Linked DNA regions of Drosophila melanogaster. Changing the gene in region 1 together with any one later gene gives a genetic interaction. Each region holds a gene or a part of one and is shown on either strand. Other genes may lie near its edges.

Region 1 (4,262 bases):
CATGAACCTTGGGTCGTAAACCCGCACTCGAGAATTGCTCAAGCCAGCAGCAAATGCCAAAAAAAAAAAAAAAACAATGGAAAACCGCGGAACGTGTTCAAATTGCCACGCAATCTGATACTAGGGCCATATAGCATACAACACTTGAGCGTATGCCATATAGCACCTATAGCATCATATAGTATATAGCATATAGCATATAGCATATACGAACCCACACCGTACGAACATCCGTATATCGTTAAGATGACCGGATGATGATGATCGACAGCGGTTCAATGCTGACTGTCTGTATTTCTCGCTGGGATTGCGACTGTTAATGGAGTCTGGGGCGAGGTAGTTGGACACATTATCAAGATACGCCCACGAGGGGGCGGAAACAGGTTTTATTAATGAGTATGTATTGAAAATGTGATGGTGAGGGGGTGGGGGGGGCTTAGTGTACAATTCGATTGAATAACAATTGGCGACGTGAGCTTGAATTGCGGCGCTAATTCCCTAAGAAGGTTAATCCGCGGGCTATAAATAAATGTGTGGCTATTAAGACAAGTATGGGTAGGGCCAGAGCTAAGAGCTAAGATAGGATAGTTTCAAACACTTGTAACCATAACTTTGAACTGCAATTGAGCTTAGCTAATATGGACTATCCTTTCGATTTCAGTCCTTTGCCGCCAAGCACTCGGATGCGGAGTCGTTGTTGCACAACATGAACGTGAAGTACTATTACTACACGAGGACACGAGGCTTGTTCCGGATCTGCTATCCCAAGGAGCGGCCGCCAGTTTCAGCGGGTGAGTAATGCTGCATTTTACATCACATGGGAGTTATTTAATCCATTTCCATTCCCGTCGCGCAGTGCCCACCTATTTGTCACCGATCGAGACACACTGCTCGAACATCGACTACTTCCCGCAGGCGGAGGACGAGAAGATCGCCAACGAGGACGCCACATCGCGTCTCCATTTGGCCCGCTCCTGCATCGCTCTGTTCATCATCAGCTTTGTGACCATCTTCTGTGCGTTCTGGACCGGATTATCCGGCTGCTGGAAGCGGTCGTCGGGCGCCATCACAGCCACCTCGATACTGCTGCTAGTCACCTGTCTCCTGGCCGCCGGCGCCATGGGACTCTGGCACACCGTCGAGTTCTTTGAGAAGGAGAAGGTCGTGGGCGAGGATTACTTCCAGCAGTGGAACACGGTATGTACACCAGCTGCATTGGGCATGTATGTGGATTAACTAATGATGAATATCTTGATTTATTAGGTCCTGCGCGACAACACGAAGATCGCCTACGACTGGTCGTACATCGTGGCCTGGGCAGGAATCGGAACCTGTCTCCTGGCGTCCATTCTGCTCTCCGGCGCGGCCGTTTGCCTGCGCAACGAGCGGGAGAAGGAGGAGCAGCTGAACCTGCAGTACCTGATGCCAGGTATGTCCATCGTGCTGACCCTCTAATATAACTAATGACTAATTTTCGGTTTCCATTTCCAGTTTACTCGCAGAAGCAGCCACCCTATCCCCCTTATGCCAACTACGCCCAGCCGCAGATCTACCCAGGACCTTACTATCATGGCTCGCAGTACGGACCCTACAACTACTAGAGGCACACCCGAAGGGGCCAGCCAGCTTCAGCCAGCAGCTGCAATTGAGTTATAGAGACATAGAGATCACAAATCATGACCAGGAGGGAACCTGGTAGCCCTCCCCAGTAATCAAAATAGAGCAAGCGCTAACGAAATCTTAAAACGCATACATTCTGACAATGAAAATATTACTTAAAGCATCAATTTTTTTTTTCGACAAGAATCTAGTTTGTAGTCTATATAGAGCTATATAGTATATATATATATGCTTGTATGTATAACTGATCGTGGGACTTGAGTCAAAGTTGCGTCCAAGTTTTTGGTGCGCGAATTGTTTGCGCGTTATTTTGCAAATATCTAAGAGAGACGAATGGATGGATGGTTTTATATGTTGACCACGGCGAGATGGCGATTTAAAGACGGAACAATAAAGAGTTAATTTATTGTAGCACGTAACGTACATGTAGCGTATCTAAAATAATAATAAAGAAATATGTGTATGTATCTAAGCTAAAAGTTTCATTGTACAATGTATATGAATGTAATAATGCGCGACAAGCTTCAATTGTCTTCCAAGTATAGTGCATATTGTATGTAGAGCTGTACGTTTAATGAATAAAAGTTTCTTACGTTAATTTAACAGTTTTTAGCTCCTTTTGGCGGGACTTCGTTTTTGTTTTTCCACAACTGGGGTATTCAAGTTTTGTTAATAAGCTTATCAAGTCGTGTGAGAGAAATTTTTGACTTTATTAAAACTAAACAGAATTGTAGTCTTCATTTCACTCTGCCATTTGTTCTCGTTTCGTTAATTCCGAAATATTTTGAAATTGTTGTTTCTGATAGTTAATATTCCACCTATTGGTCCACCTATTATGCCAATGTGGTGTTATGTGATCTGGTAGAAATATGCTTATTGTTTAATATTTTGGATAAGCTTCATTAGATTTGTTCCTACATTTAAAAATCGATTTCTAATTTAGCCGTTTTTTTTAAATGGCCAGAGCCAGAGTTGCCACCCTGCAGTCCAGCGGCGTTTTCCACACTAGACGTCTGCATCGATAGTATCGCATAAGCTCACCGATTTCCGATAGACCCGTATATATGTACGTGCACAATTTCAATGGAATAAACAATCTTCTTGCAGCAAAGCCGACGTAAACATAATAACTATAGAAGTATGAGCGCAGAGAAGTCCGATAAGGCCAAGATCAGTGCCCAAATCAAGCACGTGCCGAAGGACGCGCAGGTGATCATGTCCATCCTGAAGGAGCTGAATGTCCAGGAGTACGAGCCGCGCGTGGTCAACCAACTGCTGGAGTTCACCTTCCGTAAGCGGCGATTAATGCCTTGCTTTTCCCACATCATTTTCCTAAATGCTGTCTTGCATTGCAGGCTATGTAACCTGCATTCTGGACGACGCCAAGGTGTACGCCAACCATGCGCGCAAGAAGACCATCGACTTGGACGACGTGCGTCTGGCCACCGAGGTTACGCTGGACAAGAGCTTCACCGGGCCGTTGGAGCGCCACGTTCTAGCCAAGGTGGCCGACGTGCGCAACAGCATGCCCCTGCCACCCATTAAGCCGCACTGCGGTCTCCGACTGCCGCCCGACCGCTACTGTCTCACCGGCGTCAACTACAAACTGCGGGCCACTAATCAGCCCAAGAAAATGACCAAGTCGGCGGTGGAGGGCCGTCCACTGAAGACCGTCGTTAAGCCCGTCTCCAGCGCCAATGGTCCGAAGAGGCCACACTCCGTGGTGGCCAAGCAGCAGGTGGTGACCATTCCCAAGCCCGTCATCAAGTTTACCACCACTACGACAACGAAAACGGTGGGCAGCTCCGGCGGATCTGGGGGCGGCGGTGGTCAGGAGGTTAAGAGCGAGAGCACCGGCGCCGGCGGAGATCTCAAGATGGAGGTGGACAGCGATGCGGCGGCCGTGGGCAGCATCGCTGGCGCATCCGGTTCGGGAGCAGGAAGTGCCAGCGGAGGAGGAGGAGGAGGAGGATCATCTGGCGTTGGAGTGGCCGTCAAGCGGGAACGTGAGGAGGAGGAGTTTGAGTTTGTGACCAACTAGCGAAACGACATCATTTACCTTAAATTAATATTCTTAAACCAGACCAAAGCACTTGCATTTGGTTGAGCGAACTGGGGGTCTAAATTTCAACTCGAATGTGAAGTCCCAAAAACCTTAGTATAGATTCGCCCGTTAATCATTATGAAATCTACGTTTTATACACAAATACAACTACCAGATTTTCATATTAAATATAACATTTATTTTAGACTCCAGTCGCGGATAAAGTACATGTAATGAATGTGCTGAGTGGGATGAGATTACTTTAAAGCTAAGATGATGCAGCAGCCAAGGTCCATGATCTGCAGATACTCGGAGCCGCCGTCCTGCAGTCGAAAGCAGCATTCCTGTGGGATAAAGGCAGCAATAAACAAGAGGAATCATATCTATCTATGCAGTCAGTACGTACGCCCAGCTTATCGCAGATCGTGGCCTTTTGCGGATCATTCAGCCCCGGATGATGGACAATGAACTCGACGAACTGTTCCATCATTTGGCCAACGCTGTAGGCGGAGAAGCCAATCTCCCGCACGAACTGCTCCAGGCGCTCGTAGTTCCCAGAGCGACAGACCTCCAGGTAATCCTCCAGATAGTACTCCGG
Region 2 (4,262 bases), about 15 Mb from region 1:
AACCGAGGAATATCTGGTAAACTTTTACCTCACATCTTTCTTGGCACTTACCCATAAATCTTCACCTCGATGGCTGACAAACGTTTAACTCCATGGCTTCGACGTCATTTGGTTTGAAGTTGTGCGACTAACTAACTATGTGACCCGAACCCATAACACATTCCTCTCTTTAAAAGTTGCCCAAACTTTGGCAGCAGCCCTCTCACATTATCCTTGGCCCCCGGAAAACTCCAGTACCCCACCCCCCCACCACCACCACCGACCATTTACCACTTTTGCCACTTTTTCCATGGATCGTACTTTTCGGGGCATGGCAAATGGCAGCGCTGATTTACTTTGCAATTACAGCCAACTGAGTGCCTTAGATGAAAGTGGGCGCCGGCTGAGGTTGGTATGAGGGGAGGGGGGGCGTGGCCCTTAGAAAGGGGGACCAAAGCAATGAACTAGAAAGCTGTCTGATTAGCGTGCAGCTAGCAAAAGTTTCTCCACTCACACACACACAAACACATACACAGATTTATTGAGCCCGCTGTCCGCGTCAATAATTTGCATGGGTTAAACGTACAGAGGCAAGAAAATCTGGGGGTTAAGTCAACCCAGACCAACCCCCCCAACCCCCCACCAGACCGCACTTCCTGTGACAATGGCTGGGGACTTACCTTTGCCGATATATATATATATATATATATATATACATATGTATGTAGGTGTGACTGTGCGGAGAGAGTATAAAAGTGTGTGTTGAAAAAAACTTTCTACGCCTCAGTTCAAGTTACTTCCTTTTCGCTTTTCAATACGGTGTTATTGCATTGCATTGTGGAATAGCAAACCAATTTAAAGAATCCCAAAGGTAGGGCAAAAAAAAATGTTCAATTGCAGGGCTAATAAGCAAAAATCAAGTTAAGGCCACTCTAAAAAAAATGAACTGCATACTTATACGTATGCAATTAACTTTATTATTGATTTAGAGCGCATAAAAACGGCAAACTAATTAATTACAGCATTCCCTTAGAGCATTTCATAATCGGTTTTAAGCACTTTTTGTTGTAATGCCATTTTTCAGCTCTTTCGCTGCTGCGACAGGCGAGTGACAATAAATTGTTAAGTGCAAAAAGTTTACAGCATTTGAGTGAGTTAGTAATGGCAAACACACACGAACACGAACTTCAAGACGGTCTAAACCCGATTCGAGCTCCACTCAACCAACATCGAAGAAGCCCCATAAGTGTCACTGAGCGAAAAACTCGGTTAGTTGGCAAAAATGAGTGAAACATTGACGTTTCTTTGTTGTCTGTCGCTAGATCGGCCCACAAAGGAAGTCTCTTACGAATCGTACATACATCTAACTTTGAGTCAGCTAAAGATCTTCAGTGAAATAGGAAAATCATTTATTTCGAACTTTGAAGCTGTTGTAGAGCAGAACATATATGCATTAAAACTGGCACATGAAATAATGTTACTAGTGCTGAGTGAGACTTCTACAAATATCACATGCATATGCATAATTAACTTGCAAATCGAATCAAAAGCTATTATTCTGAGCTAAACTCTCAAAAGAAAACCATATTCATTTGAAGACCACTTAATCGTCGTCAGCAAATTAATTCCTGCAGATTCCTCGGCAACTGCAACTGCTAACCTGTTACCACATCGTCCGTGAAAATGGTATTGATAGCCTCCCGGAAAACCCGTCCCAGTCGAGATCCATATCCTGGACCAACTGGCCCCGATGATGAAGATTGATAATGCCCGGACAGCTGATGGCGGCAGTTCATGATTCCGGGGCCTGAGATGAGGTGCTAACGATGACGACAACGACCGGAGTGTCCGAAGTACGGGTGCGGATAGGCGTACGGGAAACGGGGAGTGCGGAATGCGCATCATCAACAGTCGCCGTTTGATAAATCATGCATGCAAAGTACAGTGCAAACCCCCGAAACGGGACGACAACAGGCGGATTAACAAGAACTCTCTTATTCACGATAAGAAGACGCTTCCCACTCAACCTAATCAGTATTCAAAGACAGCCACTCAGCTTATGAGTACTGCCCAGGTGGGGTACTATCATATTGGTGCAAAGGTGGTCGAATTTTTAATTATTTTGAACGGAACACATTAGCTAAACATAAACATGTTGTCACTAGTATGTATGTAAGTTAATAAAACCCATTTTTGCGGAAAGTAGATAAAAAAAACATTTTTTTTTTTTACTGCACTGGATATCATTGAACTTATCTGATCAGTTTTAAATTTACTTCGATCCAAGGGTATTTGATGTACCAGGTTCTTTCGATTACCTCTCACTCAAAATGACATTCCACTCAAAGTCAGCGCTGTTTGCCTCCTTCTCTGTCCACAGAAATATCGCCGTCTCTTTCGCCGCTGCGTCCGCTATCTCTTTCGCCACCGTTTGTAGCGTTACGTAGCGTCAATGTCCGCCTTCAGTTGCATTTTGTCAGCGGTTTCGTGACGAAGCTCCAAGCGGTTTACGCCATCAATTAAACACAAAGTGCTGTGCCAAAACTCCTCTCGCTTCTTATTTTTGTTTGTTTTTTGAGTGATTGGGGTGGTGATTGGTTTTGGGTGGGTAAGCAGGGGAAAGTGTGAAAAATCCCGGCAATGGGCCAAGAGGATCAGGAGCTATTAATTCGCGGAGGCAGCAAACACCCATCTGCCGAGCATCTGAACAATGTGAGTAGTACATGTGCATACATCTTAAGTTCACTTGATCTATAGGAACTGCGATTGCAACATCAAATTGTCTGCGGCGTGAGAACTGCGACCCACAAAAATCCCAAACCGCAATTGCACAAACAAATAGTGACACGAAACAGATTATTCTGGTAGCTGTTCTCGCTATATAAGACAATTTTTGAGATCATATCATGATCAAGACATCTAAAGGCATTCATTTTCGACTATATTCTTTTTTACAAAAAATATAACAACCAGATATTTTAAGCTTACCATGAAGTCCTCATTTCTTCCACCTTTCATTCTCAAATATTTTCTTGCTACACTACACTACACTACACTACATTATACATCGACCCCAAATAGTTGGATGTAGTAGATCGTAATTAGGGACGCATAACCAGTGGTGGCGTGGGAGGAGTCGGCTTAAGTTGGCCAACAACATTGCTGGGTGTCTATAACTCTAGGCTTGCCAAGATACTAGATACTGTATCCGTATCCATTTCTGGTTGTGTACTCGCATCTTCTACCTGATCTTAATACCTCGTTGTTTGCACGTCTCGCTCGACGAAAAATGTACAATCTAGTCTTATCTGGGTCATTATTTGGCTAGACGAATGCTTTGGGCTCAGCATCTGATATCTAGGTATCTTCGTGCGTATCTTGCTTTAAATTCTTAGCACCTCGGCTTGTATAACAAAATAAATAAGTGAGTACGATTTGCATATCTAGCCCCGGGCTCTTTGAAACAATTTTGAAAAGTCTCAAAAAGTTATACAAGGAGATAAGAACTTTAATTCTTTTGGGAAGTAAGTAACGCAGTAAAGGTAACAAAGTATTGAAAAATATGATATGTATGGAATATTTGAAGCCATCTTTAATTATATGTTCGTTGCATATATGTACATATTGGGCCGTTTACGCTCTGATATTTCCTTAATAATATCGAGTGGTCGTCAGCTTTTCCGCTGAATAATTGCGCCTCCTTCAGTATTTCGTTCTCATCAAAGTGAATGACTTTTGAGTGCACTCATTAGCCACTCGCACAATCGACAAAACGGGAGGAACAACAAATTGAGTCGCTTCTTTATTCAGTCATTTCAATTTGTCAAGTTCATCACGATACTCCTTCGCCTCCCTGCACAGCGCCATCTAGCGCCCACTCCTCGAGTTTCCTTCGTATTTCGTAAGTAATTCAAAAATAGCACGCAAAGTAAATAAAAAAAAAAGTAAGCCAAAAAATTAAATAAATATGAAATGTAGCATCTTTCGCTACTTATTTCAACAAAATACGAAAATAGGGAAAAGGTGGGAGAGTAAACCAGAGGAGGCAGGGAGATAAGAAAACCCAGTGGGAAAGGGACGGCGAAAACAGAAAAGAAAAGAAAACTTTTTAATAACATTTTTCGGCCTCATTTGTTGTGAAAACAATTTCGCCATGTCCCTCTATCTCTTTCCCAGCCATATGGCCATCTCGCTCTGCTCGAGGAGTGCCTGAAAACGGATATTACATTTTTTCGCGTCTACCTCTCGTAACGTCACCAATTGTGCTTTTTTTTTGGTAACAG
Region 3 (4,262 bases), about 17 Mb from region 1:
GAGTTCCTTGGCGACATTTAAAATTTACAAATAAAGTTTCTCTATTCAATCGGGACAGTGGAAATTGACTATTTTATTTATATTAATGAACTTATTTTTAATTTGGCTTAAGTTACTAAGGGGTACTAATAGTTTGAGCGCAGTGCATGTCATGGGGACATGTGCAATTGTGTGTAAGCGGGAAGTGATCGCGGCCTTCCGAATTTGGCCATGCCAAATAATCCCAGCTCGAAAGGAGGGGACCCGGCGGTCAGGGCCATGGACATTGAACTTGAAAAAAAAAAAAACACAAAAATATATAACACAAAACGGAAAATGCTGTGTACCGCTTATGTTAGAGAAGTTGAGCAACGGGTTTTTCGTTTTGCAGTCACGATGGATTTCCAAATTAGTGTAGGAGGGGGGAGGGGAGGGAGGGAGATAATGTCCAGGCTGCCATAAGTGGGGAATAAGGAAAATAAAACATGAAACACGGGTCGGGCAATGTCATGCGGTATTCGGCTTTGCTTTCCGCCCAAGTTGAAGTGATCCTGTGTGTAAATAATGTCGAATGTTGCCGGTCGGTTGCATAAGCGTTAGTCAATTATGCCAAAGAGATCTGATTTGTGGAAGCTTTTTTTGACCACTTAGCGCGCTCCGCTTGATGTTGTTTTGTTTTGTGCTGGGGCAGAAAACTTGTTTCAATTATTGGGAAAAGTGCGTATAAATCATTGCCGCAAGCTCTGAAAAGCGAAAAAGAAAAACAGTAACCAAACAGACAAACGCAGCATCCCCCCACACAATTAAGCAAAAACTTGAAAACAAGTCAATTCGAAAAAAATTATAGGTTCAACGGCTGCAGCGATCGCATCATTAGTTGCGTTTTTAGTAAATACACCATTTCATTACACAACACACACAATTAATTAATAAAACTGTACTGGTTATTTCAAGTGTGTCTTTTAATAAGCCTGCCGATCGCAATAAATTCGAGCAGCATTGCCGGTAATTTTGTGCAACATATTTTTCGATTGCCACACCGTGTTTGTTTATTTTTCTGTGGGTGCAATGATTTAGAATGCGGGCAAGGGATCAAGTTGAACCACTTCTAAGAAAAAATAGCATTGCATAAATGATATAGAGTCCAAAAACTACACAAATTCAATAGCAGTAATGGTTACATTAGCTTTGAAATTGTTTTTAGACATCCGAAGAAATAAGATTAAATTTAAACGGCATTCTTTAATTTGTATTTTAATATTTTGAGAGGTTTTCCTTATTTAAAGTGTAGATTATTGAGGATTAATGCAAACCACTTTATCTGCGGAGGTCGTAAAACGTATTTTTACCCATTTGCATGTTTATTATGCGTGTGGCTGGTTGTATTACTTTACTTAAGTTTTGCAATTTTTTCTTTAGCAAGCAGGTGCATTTGGGCCAAGAGATATATGCGATCGCTTTCGGTTCGAATTTTTAACATTTACTTGCGGCGATGGTCATTAGAGCATTACCCACTTAGGGCACCCCCAACATCCAGTTGATTTTCAGGGACCACAATATTTTAAATAACAGCTAGTGGAATTACCTAAAAGCGCTTTCGTCCCTTTTGAAATTTTATGTAACACTCAATTATATTTATGTATATGTATGCTCAAAATCACCTGCCAATAACTAGCGGAAACCAAATATTTGACCCTCAGTGAATTGTGAATCATCGGTGACGCCCAATCGAAATCCAATCCTAAGCAATTGAAACGAGCACGAGTTCCAATTTAATAGTATACAAGGAAACACCTGCTTTAAATACTCTACATAGTACACGTTATAATAACGATTTATTTGATATTTCTGGATTTTTGTCTGCATGTATTTCATATAATATTGATTTGATTTTTTTAATGAATTGAACTAAAAAATCATATTAGAACATTTTTTGCAGTCGCCGATAAAGATGAACACTGTTCTCAGAACACAACTGTCATGTATTAAGCTTTCAGATTTTCAGAAATTTGGAGAGCAATGCATTCTATGCACGAGCCTCCTGGCCTTACAATTTACTTGTTTGAAATTAGATCGTCAAATAAAGTCCCTAAAATTAAATAAATAGTAGTCACAACTTTAAAATAGGTCTTAATCTTTTAGGGTACCGAAAGGTATTTCGGCACAAATCAGCGCAGTTTTAAATGTCGATGAAGGCCAAAAATCATACCAAACCCAGCGAAAGGTGATGTCTGACTCATTAAATTGGGGGATTCGAGTGTATTTATTAAACATGCGTGAAAATCAATCATGGAAGACAAAACGCAAAGTTGGCCGATCTATGGGAACAGCATAAGCCACCTGATTACCCGAACACTGAACCACCCGAATCACTAAAACCACCGAAGTTGGCGCGCGCCTTCGTTTTCATTTTCATTGGCCTGTCTTCGTCTTCGGAGAAAAAAAACTTCATATAAAACGCGGCCGACATATTATGGCCACCAGTCGTTACCGCGCCACGGTCCACAGAAGAGGATTAAAAAAATATCACACAGCCGAAGGCTAGAGAAGAACCCCCTATAGCTGAACATATATAAACAAATATATTTTTTTTTATTGCCAACACACTTTGGCTTAAGTGTTAAGAGTGATTGTCAGCTTAGAGCTAAGTGCACTGTTCCAGGACAAAGGGTGGATCCTTGTGACCCTGATCACCTTGGTGACGCCGTCTTGGGCTGCTTACAAACTTCAGGAGCGATATAGTTGGAGCCAGCTGGACTTTGCTTTCCCGAATACCCGACTAAAGGACCAAGCTCTGGCTAGTGGAGATTATATTCCGCAAAATGCTCTACCTGTTGGAGTCGAACACTTTGGCAATCGGTTATTCGTCACTGTTCCCCGCTGGCGTGATGGTAAGTGGAAGTTAAATATGAAGCCCTTGGGGAGATCGTAAATGGGACATTCTTACTTAGGGCATCAGAGATATCTGATTGAGTGGTTGACAGTTTTATATGGCTTGTTTGACATGATGTAAAAACACAAAATTCATTTAGTTTAGGTATTCAAATAAGAGCTTGTTATTTATTTTAGAATTTGGAGAACATTTTTTTGTCTTTCTACCCTTCTTAGAAAATAATATTGTTTTGTACAATTTAATTTTAAACTAGTACAGACGAAAAATGTATTTTTTTATTTGTATGCCTTTTCACCATTTTGGCAGAGGAATAAATATGACAATATATTTTGAGAGCACCCTCATGTAAAGGTTTTAGCGTGGCGACCTCTCATAAATCCGGTTGGTACCTGCGCGTTATTTTAACATTTTAAACAATTAACCGTTGTAAAATCGAAGCCAATAGCATGGCATTGGCTTTATACTGTATTAAATTGTATTATATTACCATCCGAATTGTAAAGACTTCTTCAGGGCCGCCACATAGAAATGGAAATCCAATCACAAACAATAACTTATGGCATTAGCTATTAACCGACGATTAGCTGTCAGTTCAACAAATGTAAGAGTGGCGAAATGTTTAAATGCGAAGGCATTGTTCTGTGACTCACGTTTTATTATTAATCACACAAATGATTTTGCTTCAAAATTATTTGGCTTACACAATAATCAAAATTTTTATGAAATAGTTGAAACACAAAACTAGGAAATTTTAAAAAGCAATGAAACTAAAAAACCCAATTGCTAAGATTATATGATGCGCATACAAATACTTCAGTACGTCTAGGAATGCTTTCGATGATTGATTAGTTTTTATGCATGGCTTACAATTGGTATTTACACAGAAAAACACGGCGATGTTAATAAATTTTGTACATATGTTCTTAAGCAGTCCGAAACACCCAAACTTCTGACTAAACTTAAAAAAACACGCTCTTCAAGGATATCTTAATGTCACTTATAATGTAATGGTATTGTATTATTAAGTATATCAAAATATTCTGGCCCAGCCTTGAGGTCTCTTTTTAAAAAGATATCGACTGACTACCTCCAGTCAATGAAATAATAGCCCAGAAGGCCGAATCGGCAAAAAATAAACCCCAAGTTACGGCAAACAAAACATAGTGAAAGTTGTGGCAAAGTGGAACATTTAAAGGCATGCTTCAATGGCCATCGAAGCAAATCAATTAGTCAAAGCAAATCGGTAGTGGCAACAACAGGCTACAGAATACCTATAAGTGACAGTTATGGGGTATGATTAATTATAAATATTATCATTGACCACCAATGCTGGGCTCAATTGGAAAAACTATTCTATGAAGATTTGAGTAAATAAATTTTGATTTAAAAA

Evidence for each region.
Region 2: of Taf9 (region 1) and w, changing one enhances a phenotype caused by changing the other (phenotypic enhancement), as found in Drosophila melanogaster (2 studies listed by BioGRID).
Region 3: of Taf9 (region 1) and y, changing one enhances a phenotype caused by changing the other (phenotypic enhancement), as found in Drosophila melanogaster (2 studies listed by BioGRID).

Annotation. Positions count from the first base shown.
Region 1 is NC_004354.4:17,839,499-17,843,760, forward strand, and holds Taf9 (TBP-associated factor 9), read left to right. Parts: upstream 1-2,662; 5' UTR 2,663-2,760; coding exon 2,761-2,911; intron 2,912-2,975; coding exon 2,976-3,661; 3' UTR 3,662-3,850; downstream 3,851-4,262. Other genes in the region: CG6398 (uncharacterized protein), read left to right, coding at 662-791, 857-1,197, 1,264-1,429, 1,492-1,601; CG8142 (uncharacterized protein), read right to left, coding at 3,922-4,008, 4,071-4,262. UniProt on the Drosophila melanogaster protein: TFIID is a multimeric protein complex that plays a central role in mediating promoter responses to various activators and repressors.
Region 2 is NC_004354.4:2,794,666-2,798,927, reverse strand, and holds the start of w (white), read left to right. Parts: upstream 1-2,461; 5' UTR 2,462-2,619; coding exon 2,620-2,691; intron 2,692-4,262. UniProt on the Drosophila melanogaster protein: ATP-dependent transporter of the ATP-binding cassette (ABC) family which transports various molecules including bioamines, neurotransmitters, metabolic intermediates and second messengers.
Region 3 is NC_004354.4:354,048-358,309, forward strand, and holds the start of y (yellow), read left to right. Parts: upstream 1-2,461; 5' UTR 2,462-2,632; coding exon 2,633-2,870; intron 2,871-4,262. UniProt on the Drosophila melanogaster protein: Controls the pigmentation pattern of the adult cuticle and larval mouth parts.